Arabidopsis thaliana: one gene and its partner. The protein of the gene in region 2 interacts with the protein of the main gene of each other region in a pairwise test. Each region holds a gene or a part of one and is shown on either strand. Other genes may lie near its edges.

Region 1 (11,047 bases), on a different chromosome or scaffold from region 2:
GACTGGTAGAGCGTGTCGTCAAAAGACAGAACTTTTCTACGATCTTAATACTTTGAAGTATTAAATTACTAATAACAACAGTGTGAAAAGCATAATTAAAAAGCAGCAATCCAACAAAGCTATTTTTCCACAACCATTTTGTAGAAAAAACAACGTATGTTTAACATTTTTAATTTAGTGTAGATTCTAACAAATTCTCTACTGGTCTGAAGGCAAAAGTGAAGTTATATGTCACTAATTTGTCATGGTTTGATCATTATATATTGAGATTAATCCTATGTAGTGTAACAACATCAAAGTAGTTTAGAATGTTTTTGGTTATATGTCACTGATTTGGCAATTCACGCCATTTTGTTTTGACGCCATTGCTCTTGAAAGTTCGGTTTCTTAAACAAATCCAACAAGAAAACTTTGAAAGCAGAAAATACAAAACATATTATATGTTGAGTCCTAAAAATTTAAGATATAAGAACTTGGGGATGAAACGGAAGGCTTTACTGATTCAAGATAAAGAAACCCTAATGTAGTGATTCATCAAATAGACGATACAAAAGCTTGAATGTAACTGTTCATTCAAACTAACTTCTTTAACGGTTTCAGCGTCCATGGGACAAGAAAGAATTTGTTAATGTCATTGTACCAACTGAATACAGATTAAGACCAAGTAGTACTTCGATTGATGTTTCAGGCATTCCTCTCAAGTTCTCAGCTCTTACGACATCAAGAAGATTATCTGGAAGCTGCGAAACGCCATTCAAGATCTGCATAACCGCACTCATGTTCGGTCTAATCAGTTCAGTGTGATGTGCACACAACAGACCTAGCTTCAAAAGAAGCTCGATTTCTCCCCTGTTTTGTTCTTGACGGATACTTTCCTCAGCTGCATCGAAAAGTTTCCCACTTTCCCAAAGCTCTAAGATCCAATCCACAAGAACTTCTTCATTTTCCGGTGCACGTCGCTCAATCATTCTTCTACCACAAACAACTTCAAGCATTACCAACCCAAAGGCATAAACATCAGTGCTTGTGGTCGCTCTTCCTGTTCTTAGGAGCTCAGGTGCGATATAACCAAATGTTCCCGCTACTCTAGATGTCTGAGGGTCAAGTCCCTGATCATACAGCTTTGCCAATCCGAAATCCCCGATCCTTGCATTCATTTCGTGGTCGATTAGGACATTAGCTGGTTTGATATCTCTATGAATGATGATTTGTACCCATTCTTGATGCAGGTGTAGTAGAGCAGATGCAACATCTTTGATGATCTTGAAACGTTGTTCCCAAGTGAGCCGTTCTTGATTCTCATTACGGTCTAGATACTTGTCAAGGCTTCCATTGGGCGTAAAGTCATAAACCAAGTAGAGATTCTCCTTATGCCTACAATATCCCAGAAGCCTGACTAGATTTGGATGCCTGAGACGACCAATGGTCGATATCTCGGCTAGAAACTCGCTCATGCCTTGTCTTGAATCATGAGAAGTCCGTTTTACAGCGATCTCTGCATTGGAACCCGGGAGCGTTCCTTTAAAGACTTGACCAAAGCCTCCTTTTCCAAGAAGTTGTTTCTCCTTGAAATCCTTTGTGGCATTGAGAAGCTCCTTATAGGCAAACCTATGAGGTCCATATTGAATCTCCCATTCCTCAAGAACCTCCTTAACCTTCTTATGCCTCGTATAGAAGACAAAACAGATTCCCGAGGCGACAAACACAGCGAACACAGCAAGCGTTAAGCAGACCGCTAAAATCTTCTTTGTTCTGTCAGACGATTTCTTCGGATATGGAGGAAGGGTTGGGACTACGATGAACTCCCATGTTGGATTCTCAACTTTTGGAGTAGCGTACGAACTCAACATATAATGAAATGCTCCAATGGATCCAGTCGATGCCGTGTAGCCATAATACATCTCCTCCAAAAAATACGGGGAGAGATCTCGATTCAAAGACAGCAGTGGTTTCCGTGGCGGAACAGGGATCTCAGCCGGGAATAAAGTAACATTGAGCTGTTGATCAGGATGACTATAAACGATAGAAAGCCGCATTACCTTTCCGCTGATCAAAGAAAGATTTCTGAAGATTCCATCTTTATCATCATAGTAACCAGCAGAAGCAGAAACAACAGATGTCAAACCATTGCAACATGATTATCATCAATATCTCCGAACTCTTGGTCTTTTTGTATATCTAACTCGATAGCTATAACGTGGTTTGATGATTTACCGTTGGTTGTTTCATTGAATAATCCGAGGTACTGATCGGAGGAAGCTCCTGGAAGGCCTGCTGTAGGAGAGATAACGAAAGACATGCCATGTGAACCGGACTGTGTATGCTCAGGTACTATTCCAAAGAGGAAGTGGAAGCTGAAAGACGAATCTTTTATGGGAATGGATTCGTTGTTGAAAGTTTGACCGCAGGAATGCTTCTTGGTGTTCGTTAAAATGGTGTCACCAATGGAGTTGTCAGCTGCAGAGCCCTCCAGGGTCCAGTTTCCATTGGAGTTGTAAGTAGATGAAGACAGAGTATAGAGCAGAACAAGAACTATATGCAAGACTTTGAGTTCACTAGGCATGTTAGGATTTTTTTTGTTTTTGCTTATGGGAAGAAATTGATCATATGAGATATTTTTATCATCTCATTGAGAGTTAAGTAAGAGTATAAAAGAATTCCAAACTGCAAAAGTAGGGTCGAACAAAATGGAAACGAACGTTCACATGGATTTCCGCGTTGTTCATATTAAAAATTTATGTATTTACACACACATGGGGCCTAAACCAAGTCGTAAAGCAATTAAGATAATAATCTTCCAATCTTCATTGGATTCAAAGCAATTATCGTGGGATTGGTAGAGCGTGTCCTAATCCTAATATTAACCGCTGACTCTCTGAGCATTAGAAAATATATGGATCAAAATTTCAAAAAGACGGGATTTTTCTATGATCTTAAAACTGTGTGAAAACTGGAAAACATCAAAAAGTACTTTAAAAGCAATAATCGAACAAAGTAAGTTTCACATCCAAAGTTTTGACCACAAAATTTGTATTAAAAATAAGTTTTTGACATGTTTTAGAGTTAGATTCTGATTTTATTTTTTTCTATTGGTCTACATGAAAAAGTAAAGTTATATCACTAACCTATCATCGTTGATCATTATATATGAAAATACTCATGAAAGTTAATATTTTTTAGGTTAACAAGAAAAACAAACAAGGGATCAATCATCTTGTTCAATTCAATATAATTAAGCATTGGGATTTCCAACAGAAAATGTTGAGTAAAACATAGACTAGTGTTGGATATCCAAAATAGAACTCAAACCACATTCACTAATGCCTTATTGATAAAAATAAATTGCTTAGCACTCAGACTGTAATTATGGGAGAAAGAGCTTTGCAGAAGTAGACCAAGTTGCTAATGTTCATACCTCAGGCTGCATTTTCTCCACCTCTTCCCGGATAGACTGGAACAGCGGGGTCGATAGATATCTCTCCCCGAAGCTCGGGAAAACAACCTGAAAAACCGCATTCATAGATTCATTAACAGTTACCTACTTAGAAGATTTAACAATCTAACTAGCCAAGTGACTATATTGTTGATTCTTTGGTTTAGTATTGGATCACAGACTCGGGAGACTTTAATAATCCTCAAATCTATCTTAAGATGAAATCTAAAGCAATCCATCTATATGTTGCACAAAGACCCCTTGCACCACCTTTTTGTTTTCAAGACATAACACATAACTGAAACCGAAAAGACTTACAGCTATGAGTTTTCCAGCATTCTCAGGTCTCTTAGCCACCTTGATTGCAGCAGCAGCTGCAGCTCCAGATGATATACCAACCTGACAAGATTATTACATTCACGTAAGAATCTTGTGTAATTTCCACCTTTCACATGCAACATGACACCACAACATCCGTGTGGTTCCCACTCAGAAATCATAAATACTGCAAAGAACTAACCATCAAGCCTTCCTTAAGAGCTAGTTGCTTTGCGGTTTCTATAGCTTCCTCACTTGAAATCTGGTAAACGCAAAAAGAAGATAGTAATTGATGAAGTTTGAGTCTCAGGAATTGGAAAATTTAAGCAATAAATTGACACAAGAATTGTGGATGTTTTGTGGAAACCAGATAAATTGTATAACCATACAGAATCCAACAAAATAAATCATACCGCTATGACTTCATCCATAATTTTCTGATCCAAATTCTTAGGTATAAATCCAGCTCCAATTCCTTGAATCTTGTGAGGTCCTGTATAAATGCAAGAGAAAGCAAAATACGTGAATATAAGATCATATTTCGAAATCATGGAAACAAAATTACTGATTGATATCTATTGGCAAGCCTTACCCGGTTTGCCACCAGAAAGTATATCGCTTTCGGTGGGTTCTACACCAATAACCTGGTACATGTAAACATCGAATAGTTAACTACGAATTATATTGCTTGAATGAACATACAATACTGTCTAAATAACACCTGAAAATGTACTCCAGCTAAGAATGAAACCATTGAACTTTTGCATCTACCTGCGTTTTGGGATTTTTCTCTTTAATAAATCGACCAACACCAGTGATAGTTCCACCAGTTCCAATTCCTGCAACAAAGATATCCACCTTGCCCTTTGTATCATCCCAGATCTCAGGACCAGTAGTCTCGTAATGAATCTGCGTATATTCAAACTTGAGTTTACAAACGTGACAAGAGAACCTCACAGAAGATCATGCCGATTTCAAAGGATCAGCCACTTCCCAATTTGCTTGTACAGTTTAAGTGAAAACCACTTCAGTTACACACTTGTGGGCATTCTCTAAATACAGATGAGTTTCTGGTTAACTCTAACTTAACATTTCATTTCTCTTCTTATGGTACATGACTAGAGCAAAAACCAAATCATGACACAAATAAGGAAAAATATAAACCACAAACCTTTGGATTTGCAGGGTTGTCAAACTGTTGGAGCATGTATGCATCAGGAGTGTTTTTCAAGATCTCTTCAGCCTTCTGAACCGCTCCAGTCATGCCTTTAGCAGGATCTGTTAATACAAGCTCAGCTCCAAATGCCTTTAAAAGAACCCTTCTTTCCATACTCATGGATGCTGGCATTGTCAAGATAAGTCTATAGCCCCTTGAAGCAGCGATGAATGCTAGGCCAATACCCGTGTTTCCACTTGTAGGTTCCACAAGAACACTCTAGATCAATGCAGTAAGGACATGATTAACCACCAGAAATAACAGACTATAGATTGTACAACTTTATGTGTGTAAAAGCTGGTCTCATCCATTAAACTTTACAAAAGACTGATCAATCTATAATCGATACCTTTCCAGGTGATATAAATCCTTTTTGCTCAGCATCAGTAACCATACTGTACCCAATCCTGAATCCGTGAAACATAAAAGTTAGGACTTGAAGGGACTCAACTAAAAACATACAAACAAGCCACAAAAGACTTAAGCTACAGACCTATCCTTGACACTGCAACATGGCTCCATGATCTCGAGTTTGGCAGCAATATTTGCTACACAACCTTTTGCTATACTGTTCAAGTACACCATAGGAGTTTTCCCAATGAGCTGAATCAAGCCAAGAACAATGAGAGATACGTAAGTAAATTCTGAACTATTTAAAAAGCTAATCAAGTTTCAAATTTTAATGGACAATCACACTTTCGCCAACATTCCCATTAGAGGAAAGCTCAAAAATTTGATCACCAATTTCAATTTCAAATCTAACCTGAGACACATTGTCAGCGATGTTGAGTCCATCAGGTCCAGTCTCGCGCTTAACAGCCTCACACACAACAGACGGATCTCGTTCCGAACCATCAGCAAAACTCCGACTCTGCCTCTTCATCGCTAGAGAGAAATCAGAAGCGGAGGAGAAGGAGAGAGAAGAGATCTCTGGCGAGCATCTGAAACGACGGAGAGTAGAAGAAGAAGAAGAAGAAGTCAACGGATTAAGAAGTAAAGCAGAGGAAGATGTGGCGGCCATGGATGTGTAGCAGCTTCGGTTTCCCAAAAGTGTAGACAAGATTTGAGATGCGAGCTTAGCTTCCCGGTTAAACCTTGAAGCCATGATCATCGCCACCATGATCCTACTTTTCTATTTTCTTGGAATACGACGTCGATTGGATTTTCAGATACGGTCCATTTTTAGACCAAGCTTTCAACTTTATATTAAGTTTCATTTTTATATTTTATACATTTTTTTTTTAATCACCAACCAAGTGAAGTGCACTGACCAAAAGCGAACGTGGAGAATGTGTTCTTATTCGTACCTTCATACCTCTCAAGTGTTGCATGAATCTTTCTGGTTAACTTTTTTTTTTTTAATGTCAAATTCATCGTCTTGGATCCGTTGCCGTTAGATATTCTTGTTCTTGAATTTGACATTGTTTGGTTTTGGTTTGGTCAACAAGGAAATAGTCAGTAACAAAGGAACCAAAAGCTTCTGAGAAAATGTAACTTGAAAAGATTCTTCTTCTTAAATTTGACATTATTTGGTTTTGGTTTGTTCGATAAGGAATCAGCTCATCTTAAGCCCGTATAACTGAGTCAAACAATGGTAGGCGGTAGCAATTAGCCAATTAGGGTTGTCTTAATCCGAGCTACATAAACTCTAACAAAAGCGTTCCAACACTCAAAAAAAAAAAATGTAAAACACCTGAACAAACACATTCACCGTTAAATTTGCACAAAGACAAAAATGGGCCTTAGAGCCGACACTAAAAAGGCCGTTAAGCAATGAATAGCCACATTAATCGTTCCACGCGCATTATTCTCACGGAAATATGCCGTTGTTGTACCTTTTTTTTTTTCTTTCTCGATATTTTCGTCCATTAGTAAGTATCTTCTAAGACTTCTACATCAATAGAACATTAAATTATGATCAATTACTATTTTATTGGGTAACGAGTAACCACATCAATAGAATCTGATTTCTTAACCATTCGAAGTACAAACTGTAAAAGTCTGAGAAAATTGGTTGTTTTTCGTTTGTAGTTATGCAATTTTAAGTAATGTCTGTAAAATACAAAAATTTTGTTATACAATTTTGATATATATATTATGTAAGAGTTTCATGAAATTTATGCGTCAAATTCACTTAAAAAACTATATACCAAAAGTCTTACCATTTTACATTTACTCTATATATTCAATAAAAATATAATTTAAAAGGTATAGAGACAAAAACAACACAGAGAATTCACTTGCAAACAACAAGTGCTTAAACTTTATTTTTATTGATAATAAACTCTTTAACAAGTATTATCTCGGAACTTACTTGACATATTCTACCTGAATGAACAACCCCGACTAAGGAGAATTAAGTTTAATGAACAACCCCTGAATGAACAACCCCGACATTTTCTACCTGAATGAATAATTAAGCCTAATTGTCCTCTATTTCTTATCAGCCGCCCGTGAAGACAAAAAGAACTAACACTAAGAACAATTAAGAATAATTAAGCCTAATTATTCAACTCGACTAAGAACAACCCCGACTAATGCTTTGAAGTTTACAAATTGTACAATGCTTAAAGCCTCTAGAAGCCTAAACCCTAAGATCTCCAAGGGTCTTTGATATCCAACAACTTCCTGAAATCCAACACGTCGGCATCAGCTGGTTGAAATTTGCAACTTCATAATTCATGAATGCATTTTACTCATATTGTTTTTAATCACATTTTTGCTCTAGAATACTTATTACCCGAGAACGCATTTCGTTTATTTTTCGACTATTCAATATGATTTGACGAAACTAAAAAGTGATATAATGTTTGAGTATTCGACTGTTTTTGGCTAAACTAAAATGTGGTTTACAAACGATTGATTAGAGATATTTAGGTTCGTATCTCAACTAAGTGTTGCGACTAGGTGCTAACTTGTTTGAGTGTGCACAGTCTTTTGTAACTAAGTTCGTTACAGGTGTTCCGACTAATGTGTTTATCTCTTCTAAAAGTGTTGCTATTTAGTATGATTTCAACTAAAAGTGGGCTATTTTTTTTTTTTTTTTTTGGTCTATAATGTACTTTTTAGACTGAATTTGATAAACTACTTCGACTAAGTAATTTAACTAAAGCAACAATTCCTACGTGTTGTTGCTAAATAACGTGGTTCGACTAATACTTAGAGTAATACAACGACTAGAGTTGCTAAAATTTAATTCAACTTAAAATGCGCTACGTTTTTCTTACTAGGTGCTTCGACTAAATTAGACTAAGTGTTTCGGCTGGGATTTCATTAAAGTGTTTATTTTTTACCTTTAAAGTGACGTTTGGCTACATGTGTTTTTTACAAGCAAGTTTTTTTTTTTTTAATATTCAAACAAATGTCATTATCAATCTATCATACACTTTAAAAAAATTATCAAAAAAAAAAAAAGAAGGCATTGAAAAAAACTAACCTTTGAGAAGATCGCAATTCATGTGTGAGGCTGGAACTTGCTCTAAGTAGTCATATCCGTGGACCGTAGTTGTTGGGCTTGAAGCAAGCTTTTTCTGAAGTCATCTTCCCATACAAAAAAACAAAAGAATCTTATTACTAAATTTTTGGATTAATAATAAATATTACATCATCAAAGAATAATCAATTCAACTTCGAAATCCAAATGTTCATCAGTCCCTTTTTTATAACAAGTGTAGCAGAGATATTAAAATCAAAGTCAACAAGTATAGCAAAGTCAAACAGAGCATAGCAAAGTCAAACATAGCAAAATTCCCAAAACAGGAGGAAGTAATCCGTGTAAATAAAACCTAAAAATGCAGCTAGAAAGCTAAAACACAGAGAAAAAAGCCATGTTCAGATATGGACACAATCGTGATTTTAAAAGCCTGATTTATTTTTGAATTAAAGAGAGAGGACAAACAAACAGTGAGGAAAGCTGAAAGAAGAAATAAATTAAAAAAGGCATCCGTTTTGCAGTCACATGTGTAAAAAAGACTGAAAATAATCAGAAAAGATCAAATAAAGAATTAAAGCGACTCACCAACGATTGGATGAAGACACTTTGGACTCTTCTTGTAGATAACGACACTTCGGATTTTATTGTAGAAGACGACAGGAGAGGAATTTTACATTTCTAGAACATTAGATTACTAAATTGTACTAAACGCTCGTGTGTGTGTGTGTTTATATATAGACAAGTTTTCTCGCCCGTTGGGAAAAGCATCAACGGCTACTTTGTCATGTCTGAATATAAGTCAGCCATGACGTCATAAGTTACCGTTCTGTATCTTCAACGGCTAACTCACACTGAACCAACAAGACACGTGTAAAGTCGTATACTTACTGTTGGGCTTTCTCCATATCGGCCCAACCCATTCAAATTGGTCAATAATTATGAATCTTTTTGCGCTTATCATTTATTTTATTAACAATAACGGGGTTAAGGCTTAACCCCATTTGAAAATGTTTACATCTTAACTAGTCTCACCATAATTATGATTACACTCTTACTTAAGACAAATGTTCATCATACATTATACATCTTTAAACATGTATTTTGGATTTTAAAACTCTATGATTTTAATGATTATGTATAGTATTATTCGCTTATGGTTTATAGATTATTAACAAATATAATTATGCAATAATTTTTTTTTGAATATATTTTCTGACCTAGCCACTGTTATATATTGTGGCCAATTTCTGGTACATTTTATTTTTTGTAAAGTCATTTTGTGGTTATATGTGGCTAAGACAAAAAATGTTTTTGGAGCAATTAGACTTAGACACACGGATATGTGGTGTCCTTTTGATGGCTATATTGATGGCTAGCTACAAGAATTGTGGTAATTAACAACTTTACGTACACCAAACGTTAAGAACATCAAAATCACTCCATCTAGTATAACATATTTTTTAATCTTTGCCGTGCAAATACAAATTACACGGTGATTAATACTTCCACCACCAAACAAACACAGCACACTAATTTTTAGAGGAAAGGAATAAAGCAAAAACAAAATCTCTGACCACAAAGTGTGTGGATCGAACCAAGCTACGGCCAGTGAAAGTGTAAAATCAGACACTTGAAAGGCTAGTCCATTTGCCTACTTCGTAAGGATCCGCATAGTAATATAGCTTGATCCTGTTTGCTAAAGACAGTCCTGCAGCAAAAGGAGAAGCCCGGCTGCTCAAATCAACAGCCTCTGCGGGCTCATCTGTAAAAGCTGCTACATCTCCTAGCAGTTTAAACGATACTCTCTGTGCTTGTATCTGTTTAGGGAAGTCAAAATACAACTTTGTTCCATCTCTCGCCTCAGGCAATCTGTATTCCGCGATTGTCACCATTTTGTATTGCTCCTGTAGATTAACATTTTTCAGATCAACATGAAAAAGTTATTACAACATTTTGGTTTCTGAGGATATATAATAAACCGGGAGGAGGAGAGATAGATACCTGTAGAACAGATACTTGTATATACAAGATGGCCGGAGAGACGTGTCTATCTTCCATTATGACACTCGTCGGGTCCCAAATGTCAACTACATCTGAAGAAGGCGAGTGGGTTACACGAGGCTTTATCGCACTAAAAGCATCTAAACGGAATCCAGCAGCTAAAGGTGAAGCAGGTTGCAGATAAAGTTCCAAGACTAGATCATTCTCCATTGGTCTCTCAGTCTCTAATGGTATCTGGAAGGTGAAAAAAACAAATATTAGTGACAATAAACGAAATACCACAGAAAAAGGTGAAAAGGAACGAGCAGTTCTCTAAGGCACTAACCAGGAATCTATTCAAACGTGGGGCTCTGTCCAGCCAGTTTCTTACGCTCATGCTCTCAACACTTTGTAGCGTTTTATCCCTCACGGTGTTTCCAGTGACCAAGATGTGTTTTGCATGAATACATGGATCATTCTCAATGGTTGCTCCAAAAGAGGCACGTCGAGGAATTGGAGCAAATGGGTTCTCATCCAAAGATAAGAGATTGATGTTTTTGTCCAAACTAACTGAGCTACTAGATCCAAGCCTAGGAAGACGCAGTGTTATCCATATAATGCGGCAACGGACAGGATTCTTGAAAGCAAATTTTATATGCCTAGGTGC
Region 2 (9,122 bases):
CCTTACTTATCCAATTATCAACATTTAATATTTGTTTACATTTATACAATTATCCAATTTATTTACAGCAATTTTTCCGAATTAGTATTCGACTGTTATTGGTGAAATTCGAGCTGGTTAATAATATTTATCAAAAATAAGTTTCTATAAATAAATCAAATTAAAAATGTTTCTTATTTTAAGTTTTTTGACCGTTCGCGTGTCATGTTACGACTACCGGCGTCTATGGAGAAATCACCGCAAAATTTATAGAGAGAGTAAAACGAAAGAGAAGAAAAAAAGGAAAACGAAAAAAAAACGTTTCTTTTTCCAGAGAGGTCTTAAGAGAGAGGAGAGAGAAAAGGCATCGCTTTGTATATAAGCTAAAGAAAAGCCAAAAAACAATCTAGAGGTTGGGAGAAGAAGAAGAAGAAAAGAGAAGAAGCTCTTGTTATCCCGGCGTTCTTAAAACAACGACGGCGACGGTGACGGCTAAGCGGAAGAGCTTTTGTTGCCAATGACGGACTCTTACGGCGCCGTCTCCGTCGACGTTGGAACAATCTATCTTGGTGGCAAGGTTTCATTCTTTAACCTTTGAACTCGGATCCGAATAAAGCTTTGATTTTTGTTTCTGGGTTTATCTTAAACTTGCTTAAATCTAATCTTTCTGTTGATTTGGGGAAGAACAGACATGTGGGCATTGTTAGATTCATTTGTTTTTGTAAAAAAAAGACTCATCTTTTGTTTGAATCAAATGTTCTTGGAGAAATTCTTTGCTTGTGGATTTGTGAAACTTCTTTTATTATTATGATTCATTTCCAGATGGGATTATTCTTGGGATCTTCTTCTTCTCTCTATTCAAAGATATCTTCTTCTTATTATTATTTTGTATTCCTTATTCTTTGTCTTATTGCCTTTTGATTTTTTTATCTTATAGAAAAAAGAAAAGAAAATGCCAGCTGTTTTTGTCTACCATTAACCTTTTGTTTAATAAGACTAATGCTTCTTTATTATCTCATTAAGACTCATATTAGCTCATCTTTTTTAAACTGTCATTCCCTTTTTATTAAAAAAAAACCACAATGATTAGAATTAGGCCATTTCTCTTTGGTTGTTGATGATCAAGTTTTTGGTTTTGTTTTTTTGCCCTTAAAAGTAGTAAAGCTGCACATGGAAAAGCTTTAACAGAGATGTTTTCTTTTTTGTGTGTGTGTTAATCAAAGCATTTCTTTTCCACCTAAAGTCAGTTGTCATATTCCTATCTTTAGTATACATTTACTAACGAGAAAATAGATTCATTGTTTACAAACACATGTTTTATGAATATGGAGTAGACAAATGGTATGGTTAAAAGTTTAGTTTTTTTCTGTTGGTTTCATGATCCGTTACTTTTGTTATAACTTGTTGGTTTCTTGTGTTCAGGAGCATCGTGTTAAAACTGCTAGTGGTGTTGTGTCTGTCATTGTCTATGGAGACAGAGAAAAGCCAGCATTGATTACTTATCCTGATTTAGCCCTAAACCGTAAGGCTAAAGAATCTCTATAGGCACTAATGTAATGGCTAAATTTATTAATGTTTTTGTTGTTTCTTCTTCAGATATGTCATGCTTCCAAGGGTTATTCTTCTGTCCTGAAGCAGCTTCATTGCTGCTTCATAACTTCTGCATTTACCATATCAGTCCACCTGGGCATGAGGTCCAATATTTTAGTTTCTCTTTTTTTAACTTGCCGTATGCTTTGCTTGACGTGATTACTTACTCACATGACTTCTCTGTTTTCTTGCAGTTAGGAGCTGCTCCAATTTGTCCTAATGATTCAGTCCCTTCTGCTGAAAACTTGGCAGATCAGATCCTTGAAGTTCTCAACTTTTTCGGGTAACGATGGAATCCCTTATTTTTGGCTTATTGAAGTTCTCAACTTTTGTTTTTCGGGTAACAATGTATAAGCTTTTTGTTCAGCCTTGGTGTTGTGATGTGTATGGGAGTGACTGCAGGTGCTTATATCCTCACCTTATTCGCGGTATGTTCCTATTTATTTTTCTCTTCTCATTGCCCATTGCTTCAGAAGAATACTGTGTTTATCATCTCTTCTATGTTTTAAAACTTTTCAGATGAAACATAGAGAACGGGTTCTTGGTTTGATTCTTGTCTCACCGTTATGCAAGGCGCCGTCTTGGTCTGAATGGTTTTACAACAAGGTTATCACAAACTTGTTATATTATTACGGAATGTGTGGAGTGGTAAAGGAATTTTTGCTTCAGAGATATTTTAGTAAGGTGTGTTCACTGCAGTTACCATTGCTCTCTCTCTGCACTTGTTGCATTTCCAGACTTCTCTTATTTAAACCGGTTGCAACTGCTTGCTACAGGAAGTCCGTGGTAACGTTGAGATTCCAGAGTCAGATATAGCACAAGCTTGCAGAAGAGTCAGTGTTTATCTCTTCTGTTGTTTTTCTGTTTCATCAATAGATTGATTTTACTGTATCAGTGATTCACACCTTGCACTTTTGGTGATTGTCTCAGCTGCTTGATGAAAGACAAGGCATAAACGTTTTGCGATTTCTTGACGCCATTGACCGGTAACACAACAAACACCTCGAAATCCTTTACCTTAGAAGCATTCATTCATTCATGGTGTCAAATATTGACTTTTCTTTAACTTTATGCAAACCAAACCTTTGCTCTTGCAGGAGACCTGACATCTCAAGTGGATTGAAGAAACTAAAATGCAGGACACTTATCTTCATCGGAGATCAATCTCCTTTCTACTCAGAAGCTGTTCACATGGCAGCAACTTTGGATAGAGGATACTGTGCTTTGGTTGAGGTTTGAGAAAACGAATCCTCATCCTTTGTACTTTACATATAAACACATGTTTGGTTTTCTTGCTACTAATAGATGTTTTCTTGGAAATATTATCAGGTTCAGGCTTGTGGTTCAATGGTAACAGAGGAGCAACCACATGCAATGTTGATCCCAATGGAATATTTCTTGATGGGTTACGGATTATACAGACCATCTCTTTTCTCCGAGAGCCCTAGAAGTCCACTTAGCCCTTCTTGTATTTCACCTGAGCTTCTCTCTCCTGAAAGCATGGGATTAAAGCTTAAGCCTATCAAAACCAGAATTTCGGCGGCTTAAGTGTGTGTGCACTACTGATTCATTGGTTCTAATTTTGCTGAGGAGAAGAAATCTTAGGGCTTTTGTAGATATAGAACAATACTAGGGAGATTTGAGAAGAAGAAGACGAAGAAGAAAAATTCAAGCCACCATCATATAACACATTCTTTTGTAGTCAGCCGACACGACAGTTCTCTTGTTAAGATGCCACAAAATGTTGTTTATTATTTCATTTTTTTATACATATGTAAAATGTTCTGTTCTTGTGACATTGTAACAATTGTTTTGTGACGAACTCTGCAGAAGCAAGTAATAAAATTCATTTTGCATTTTGTTTTTGGTTCTCTAATTGGCCTTACAAGCACATTGATTTCACCAAGTTAGAATCTGGTTTTTGCTTAATATTGATATTTAATGGTTTAACAGTCTTGATCCTGAACTATTTGGATCATCAGATTGAAACTTTTTAGTCTGAATTGAATTGTAAATGGAAATGGAGACCAATCCTTCTTTGCAGAAGCCGTAAGTTATATACTGATATAAGATACGCATAAGGATTAGTTGCGGTTGACGAAAACATAGTCCCTCATGAACCGGGGTAAAGGCGAAGAATGCTTCACTTAGTCTGAACAAGTTCAATGCTCCTCGATGTTTGTCAAGCCCGTAAAATGGATGCAGACAAGTGTAAATCCGAGCCAAACCCGAATACAAAGTAGAAGAAGTGTATAAACTCTTGGATAACTAATGATTGAATAATAACATCAAATTAAGGCCATTTCTTGTATTGAACATCGTAAGATGTTTTGTAAATTACAAATACAACAAAGCTCACTTACCTCAGCACCTCTCTATAAGCGAATGGTCAGAAAGTTTTTCACTTTCAAAACCACAGAAACAATTATAACAACAACTTTATATGATGTAATCTGACCATTCCGAGATGAATGAAGTATGATCCATCGATTCTCCAGGACATTCCTCATCATGAATCGTTGGCTTCTCTTTCCCTCCGACAAGTCTCGCCGGATTCCCAACCGCAGTACCTCGACAAGGCACGTCAATCAGCACAACAGAACCAGCTCCTACTTTAGCACCTGCACCAATCTTCACATTTCCAAGAATAGTCGCTCCAGCTCCAATCAAACAACCGTCACCGATCTTCGGATGTCTATCTCCACAAGCTTTACCTGTTCCACCTAGTGTCACATGGTGAAGGATTGAAACATTGTTCCCAATCACCGCTGTTTCTCCGACTACAACTCCGGTTGCGTGGTCTAGAAGTATCCCTTTTCCGATCTTCGCTGCTGGATGGATATCAACAGCGAATACATCGGAGATTCTTGAGTGTAGAGCTAATGCTAATGGCTTCCGTGATTGTGTCCATAGCTTGTGTGATACACGATGCGCCTAATTCAAATTCAACAAAGCCAAATCATGATCCGAAATTCGCATAACTGAAGAATCAACCTAACCTAACCTAAAACAATATTCATAAATCAAATCGCAAGATATAGAAATTGTGGATTCATCAGATCAAATGATGAAGATTTCACCTGAATAGCTAAGAAGCCTTTGTAATTGAGGAGACAATGAGAGAACGAGATACAAGCAGGATCACGAACACGAGCAGCGCGTAGATCTGCGACGGTGGCGTTACGAAGAGAAGGATCGGAGGAAAAAGTGTTTAAGAACAGATCGTATAAAAGTGTGGATAAAAGCGTTGAGGAACAAAGCTTGTTTCCTAGATGAAACGAGATAGATCGTTCAAGAGACGAATGAGAAAGAATCGTCGAATATAGATAGCTAGCTAAAGCTGGCTCCGCCTCAGCATCACGGCGAGCTTCCGCCTTGATCTGTGTCCATAATCCGGCAGCTTCCGCATCTGCAGCTGCCGCAGATATCGCTGCTGACGCTGCTTCTGCTTCATCGGATTGGGTAACGGAAGATAGTTTCTCCTTTGATGGAGATTGATGTCGGAGTTCTCCGGCCGGTGGCATATTAACGCGGCGATAAGATTCGATTTCTATCTCCTCCTACCTATAAAAGTTAATTTTCGAGACGCTCTTTAATCGTGCGGAAATTTTTAAATCCATAGATTAAAGACAATGATAGTCCACCTGGTGCGTGATTAACGTGATTTTTAGAAAATAAAATCGGAGCCGTCAGTTTTATGCTTTATCAATAACCGTTAGATTAGATTTATCTTTCCGTTAATCGACGGTGGTGATTCTGCCGACATTCTTACCAAACTTTTTCCGTAACAAATTTTTGATCAAAAAAAAAAAGAAACTATACAAATTAACTACTAACACTACAAATTTGAAACGTGAATAAGTGGGTTACAATCCAATTAATTTAGGAGAAACAAAAGCCATATCTTTGACCTAGTCGATGTAGGTTTACTCCGGTTAACCAAATGGTCTCATCACTTTGAGTGTTGAAGTGAGGAAAGTATAATTACTCTTCTCTACTTTGATGGTAACAACTTGGTCTCGAATAGAAGGAACTAGCACTTGTGACTTTCTCTTGCTCATAAACTCGGGGTCACCGAGCTTCTGTAACTCAAGATGGCGTCGTTCCCCATTACTGCATGTGTTCCATGCATAATCAAAAGTGCTCAAAAGCATCCCTTCTGTTGCAGCAGCTTCCTACTTAATTAGATCCCATCTGATAAATCACGGTAAAGCAGAGAAACAATCACATGAGTTAGGATCAAAGGTGTATACGTAGCAGACCAACTAGAGAAGATAAGAAGACATGTATTTACTGGTGCCCATCTATAAAAAACTGAGTATCCTTCCGAGAATATGTCCTCATATAAACCCGAGGGCAAATGACCACCGCGTCTTCCATAATCCTGGAGTCTTGATTTTACGTCTACACATTGTCCGACATATACACCAAGAACATTATTATCAGGATCAAAGTTTTGGCCTTGGTCTTGACCGATGACGCCTACACCGAGCTCATACAGACCCGTACAACGTTGAGGGGGTAAGTCCTCATGTCTGTATCTACGGACCCTTTCTTTTCTATTATTGAAATCTTTCCAATCATTGTGTCTTATAAGATTCCGCCATTTGGAGAATGCGATGTCGTGTATAGTCAGCTTGTAGTCTTCTCTCTTGAACATAGTGGGGACGGCGGAACTGAATTCCTTTCCGATCAATCTGGTGATACATTATGACCATTAATTTAAAGCCTGAAGGACCAATAATAGTAAGAAAAAAAACAGAGGATAAAAATGCAACAACATTGTGAATAGATGAGATGATAAGAGACCTATTGTTCAAGAGCTGACTTATCCCCGGCATAATGGTTGTGCTTTTTTGCGTGCTAATGATTGTGTGTCGTATATGGTTAAACTTCAACTTCGCCATCTTCGATAATAGAACAAACGACATTGTCAAACAAAATAAAACAGAACAAAACGGTTCTGCTACAGAAAAATAATGAAAGAAGGCAGCTCTGATATATTACGATCGTAGATATATGGAAGAAGCGAAGGGAAGTTGAAAAAGAAATGGGTCGTTTACAGTTTTTCGCATCATGGACAAGTAACAAAGTGGAGGCATGGCGGGAAACGGGTCTATGTATTTTTAAATCTAAAAACATCTAATGTAATGCAAAGATGCAAGTCAACGATGTTAATCAAAACTGATTTTAAATTTATAAAAAATGAGATTGTGAGTCATCCAGTACAGATGATTGTTCAGCAAACCAATACCGAAACCAAAACGGTTTTGGTACAAACAATTCTGGTTAGGTAACAAATAACATAAACAAGTGATGCAGAGGTTAGGTGATTCTCATTCCCTTATGCTCTTCACATCTCTTACGTCCTTTTACCGGAGATCTCTCACAGATCAATCCATTGCCTAATTTAACTCCACAAGCTACGTTTTTTGCTGCCTCTGGCTGAAAATATACCGGCGAAGTATCGCTGGAAGTTTTCTCCTTATGTTGCCAACACCTTTTGCTTCCTTTAGGAGAACTTCTTGTGCAAGGTAACCCATTCTTTGTTGTAGCTTCACAGAAGCGAGTCAAAGCTTCTTCTTCGATTGACTCGGTATGCGATTCGGGATCAGGTTTCTCGTCTTTGACGGTTTTCTCACGGTCAGTTTGGTTAAGAAGAAAAAGAAAAGCATTGATCCTCATGCCTTTATGATCCTCACATCGTTTTCTTCCAGGAACAGGTCTCTTATTGCAAGGTTCCATGTCAGGTAAGATCACTCCACACACAACATCAGAGTCTTTATGATTGTGATGATCTTGTCCAGTGAAAATCTCGGACTTTGGCGGTGTCTGTTTTTCGGGTGAAACACGGCAAACTCTCTGTCCTTTATGCTCTATGCATCTCTTTCTCCCTTTGACTGGACTTCTAATGCAACAGCCACCATCTTCAAGTAAGACTCCACAAACAATATCAGAACAAGAACCATCAACCTCATCAAATCTGTCTGAAACCGGTTGAGGTCTAGACCGGGTGAGTTTGAGTATTGAAGTGAGGAAATTATTACTCTTCTCTTCATCAACATCACAGGTTAGCTTCCTCTCTTCTTTAAGCACATGCTTCTCTCCTTTTATTCTGATACCAACTTGGTTCCGAAGAAAAGGAAACAGCATTCGAGATATACCGGACTTTCTCTTGCTCATAAACTCGCGATCACCGAGCTTCTTAAGCAAATCAAGCTGCCTTCGCTCCCCGTTACTTCCTTTGTTCCAAGCATAGTCAAATGTGCTCAAGAGCATCCCTTCTGTTGCCTCAGCTTCTCTCTTAGATCCCATCTGATACAATCACATGAGTTAGATCAAAGTTGTATACTTAGCAAACCAATATAGAAGAAAAGAAGAAATGTATTTACTAACCGGAGCCCATCTGTATAAAATCGAGCCTCCTTTCGAAAATATGTCTTCAAATAAACCTCCAGTAACAGCCTTAACTGGAGATTCAATAGTTTCACAGTCGTTAAGGTTGTTAACATTGCGCAAATGAGCACCGGATCTTCCATAACGCTGAAGTCTAGACCTAACACTTTCAGCTTGTCCTAGATATGAAGCAAGAACAATATCTGGTTCAAGCTTTCGACATTGTTCTTGACCGATGACCGCTACACCGAGCTCATACAGACCCGGACAAGATTTACGAGGTAAGTTCTGGACTCTGTATCTACCTACACCATCTTTTCCGTTTTTGAAATCTTCCCAATCGTTGGATCCTATAAGTACCTGTGCAGCATCAAACTTTACACAATCAGATAAAACTAAGATCTAAAACCAACCACTTCAAGTAGCAAATGAAACAGAATTAGGCTAATTAGATATACATATAGTTAGCGACCAATTCTAACAGAAATCCAGAGAAAATGCATTTGGGACAAAGCAGACACACTAGGCATTCAAAATGGGATCTTTACACTGAAATCCTGGAAATGGAAGATCAGATTTTTCGATTCAACTGAAAATCTGAGAATTCCGAAATGGGTTTCAGAGAAAACACAAGATCGAGCGAAAATTCTCAATCTACAAATCGAGAAAGAGAAAGACAGAGGACCTGCCACTTGGAGAAGACGGTGTCGTGTTTAGTTCGTTTGTAGTCTTCTCTTTTGAAGACAGTGGGGACGACGGCGAAGGAAACGCCGTCGCCGAATTCCATTTCGATAAAACCGATGATATAGTGTGACCGTTAAATTAAAGCGGACTTGGTCTTTTTTCTCAGTGCTCGTTAATTTAGAGACACCACCGTTAAAAATGAGAAAAGTTTTTCTCCCCTCCAAAAATGGATGTTTATCCTTCCAAAATGGATGATTTTTGTTTTATTCTGTCCGAAGGAAAAGTTTCAAGTTACCGTTGGAACGGTGAAGCTTCTTCTGTACGGTTTATTAGTTACCGTTGGATTTTTTTTTTTTAATCTACATTAGTCAATGTTGACAACCGTAATTAGCATAAGGGAGGGAATCTACATTCTTTAATGAGAATACTTAACTTTTCAATTGGTCAAATTTTCTTCTATCTTTGGGATTTTT

The links.
Region 1: the proteins of SERAT1;1 (region 2) and OASC interact in a two-hybrid assay, tested with the Arabidopsis thaliana proteins (one study listed by BioGRID).

The regions. Positions count from the first base shown.
Region 1 is NC_003074.8:22,069,259-22,080,305, forward strand, and holds OASC (O-acetylserine (thiol) lyase), read right to left. Parts: upstream 6,159-11,047; 5' UTR 6,088-6,158; coding exon 5,731-6,087; intron 5,571-5,730; coding exon 5,461-5,570; intron 5,375-5,460; coding exon 5,317-5,374; intron 5,187-5,316; coding exon 4,923-5,186; intron 4,661-4,922; coding exon 4,523-4,660; intron 4,396-4,522; coding exon 4,344-4,395; intron 4,245-4,343; coding exon 4,165-4,244; intron 4,014-4,164; coding exon 3,954-4,013; intron 3,833-3,953; coding exon 3,752-3,832; coding exon of another isoform or gene 3,739-3,751; intron 3,503-3,738; coding exon 3,416-3,502; coding exon of another isoform or gene 3,403-3,415; exon of another isoform or gene 3,006-3,402; intron 2,876-3,005; coding exon 2,861-2,875; 3' UTR 2,690-2,860; downstream 1-2,689. Other genes in the region: AT3G59750 (Concanavalin A-like lectin protein kinase family protein), read right to left, coding at 597-2,039, 2,126-2,563; SAC9 (sacI homology domain-containing protein / WW domain-containing protein), read right to left, coding at 10,023-10,304, 10,402-10,635, 10,727-11,047. UniProt on the Arabidopsis thaliana protein: Acts as a cysteine synthase. Plays a role in the sulfide detoxification in mitochondria.
Region 2 is NC_003076.8:22,957,490-22,966,611, forward strand, and holds SERAT1;1 (serine acetyltransferase 1;1), read right to left. Parts: upstream 5,225-9,122; 5' UTR 5,094-5,224; coding exon 4,650-5,093; intron 4,504-4,649; coding exon 4,009-4,503; 3' UTR 3,740-4,008; downstream 1-3,739. Other genes in the region: NDL1 (N-MYC downregulated-like 1), read left to right, coding at 497-556, 1,402-1,501, 1,576-1,673, 1,764-1,852, 1,937-1,997, 2,089-2,253, 2,346-2,402, 2,500-2,555 and 2 more; AT5G56770 (transcription repressor-like protein), read right to left, coding at 5,505-5,744, 5,864-6,266, 6,379-6,500; ET2 (effector of transcription2), read right to left, coding at 6,895-7,884, 7,966-8,325, 8,651-8,752.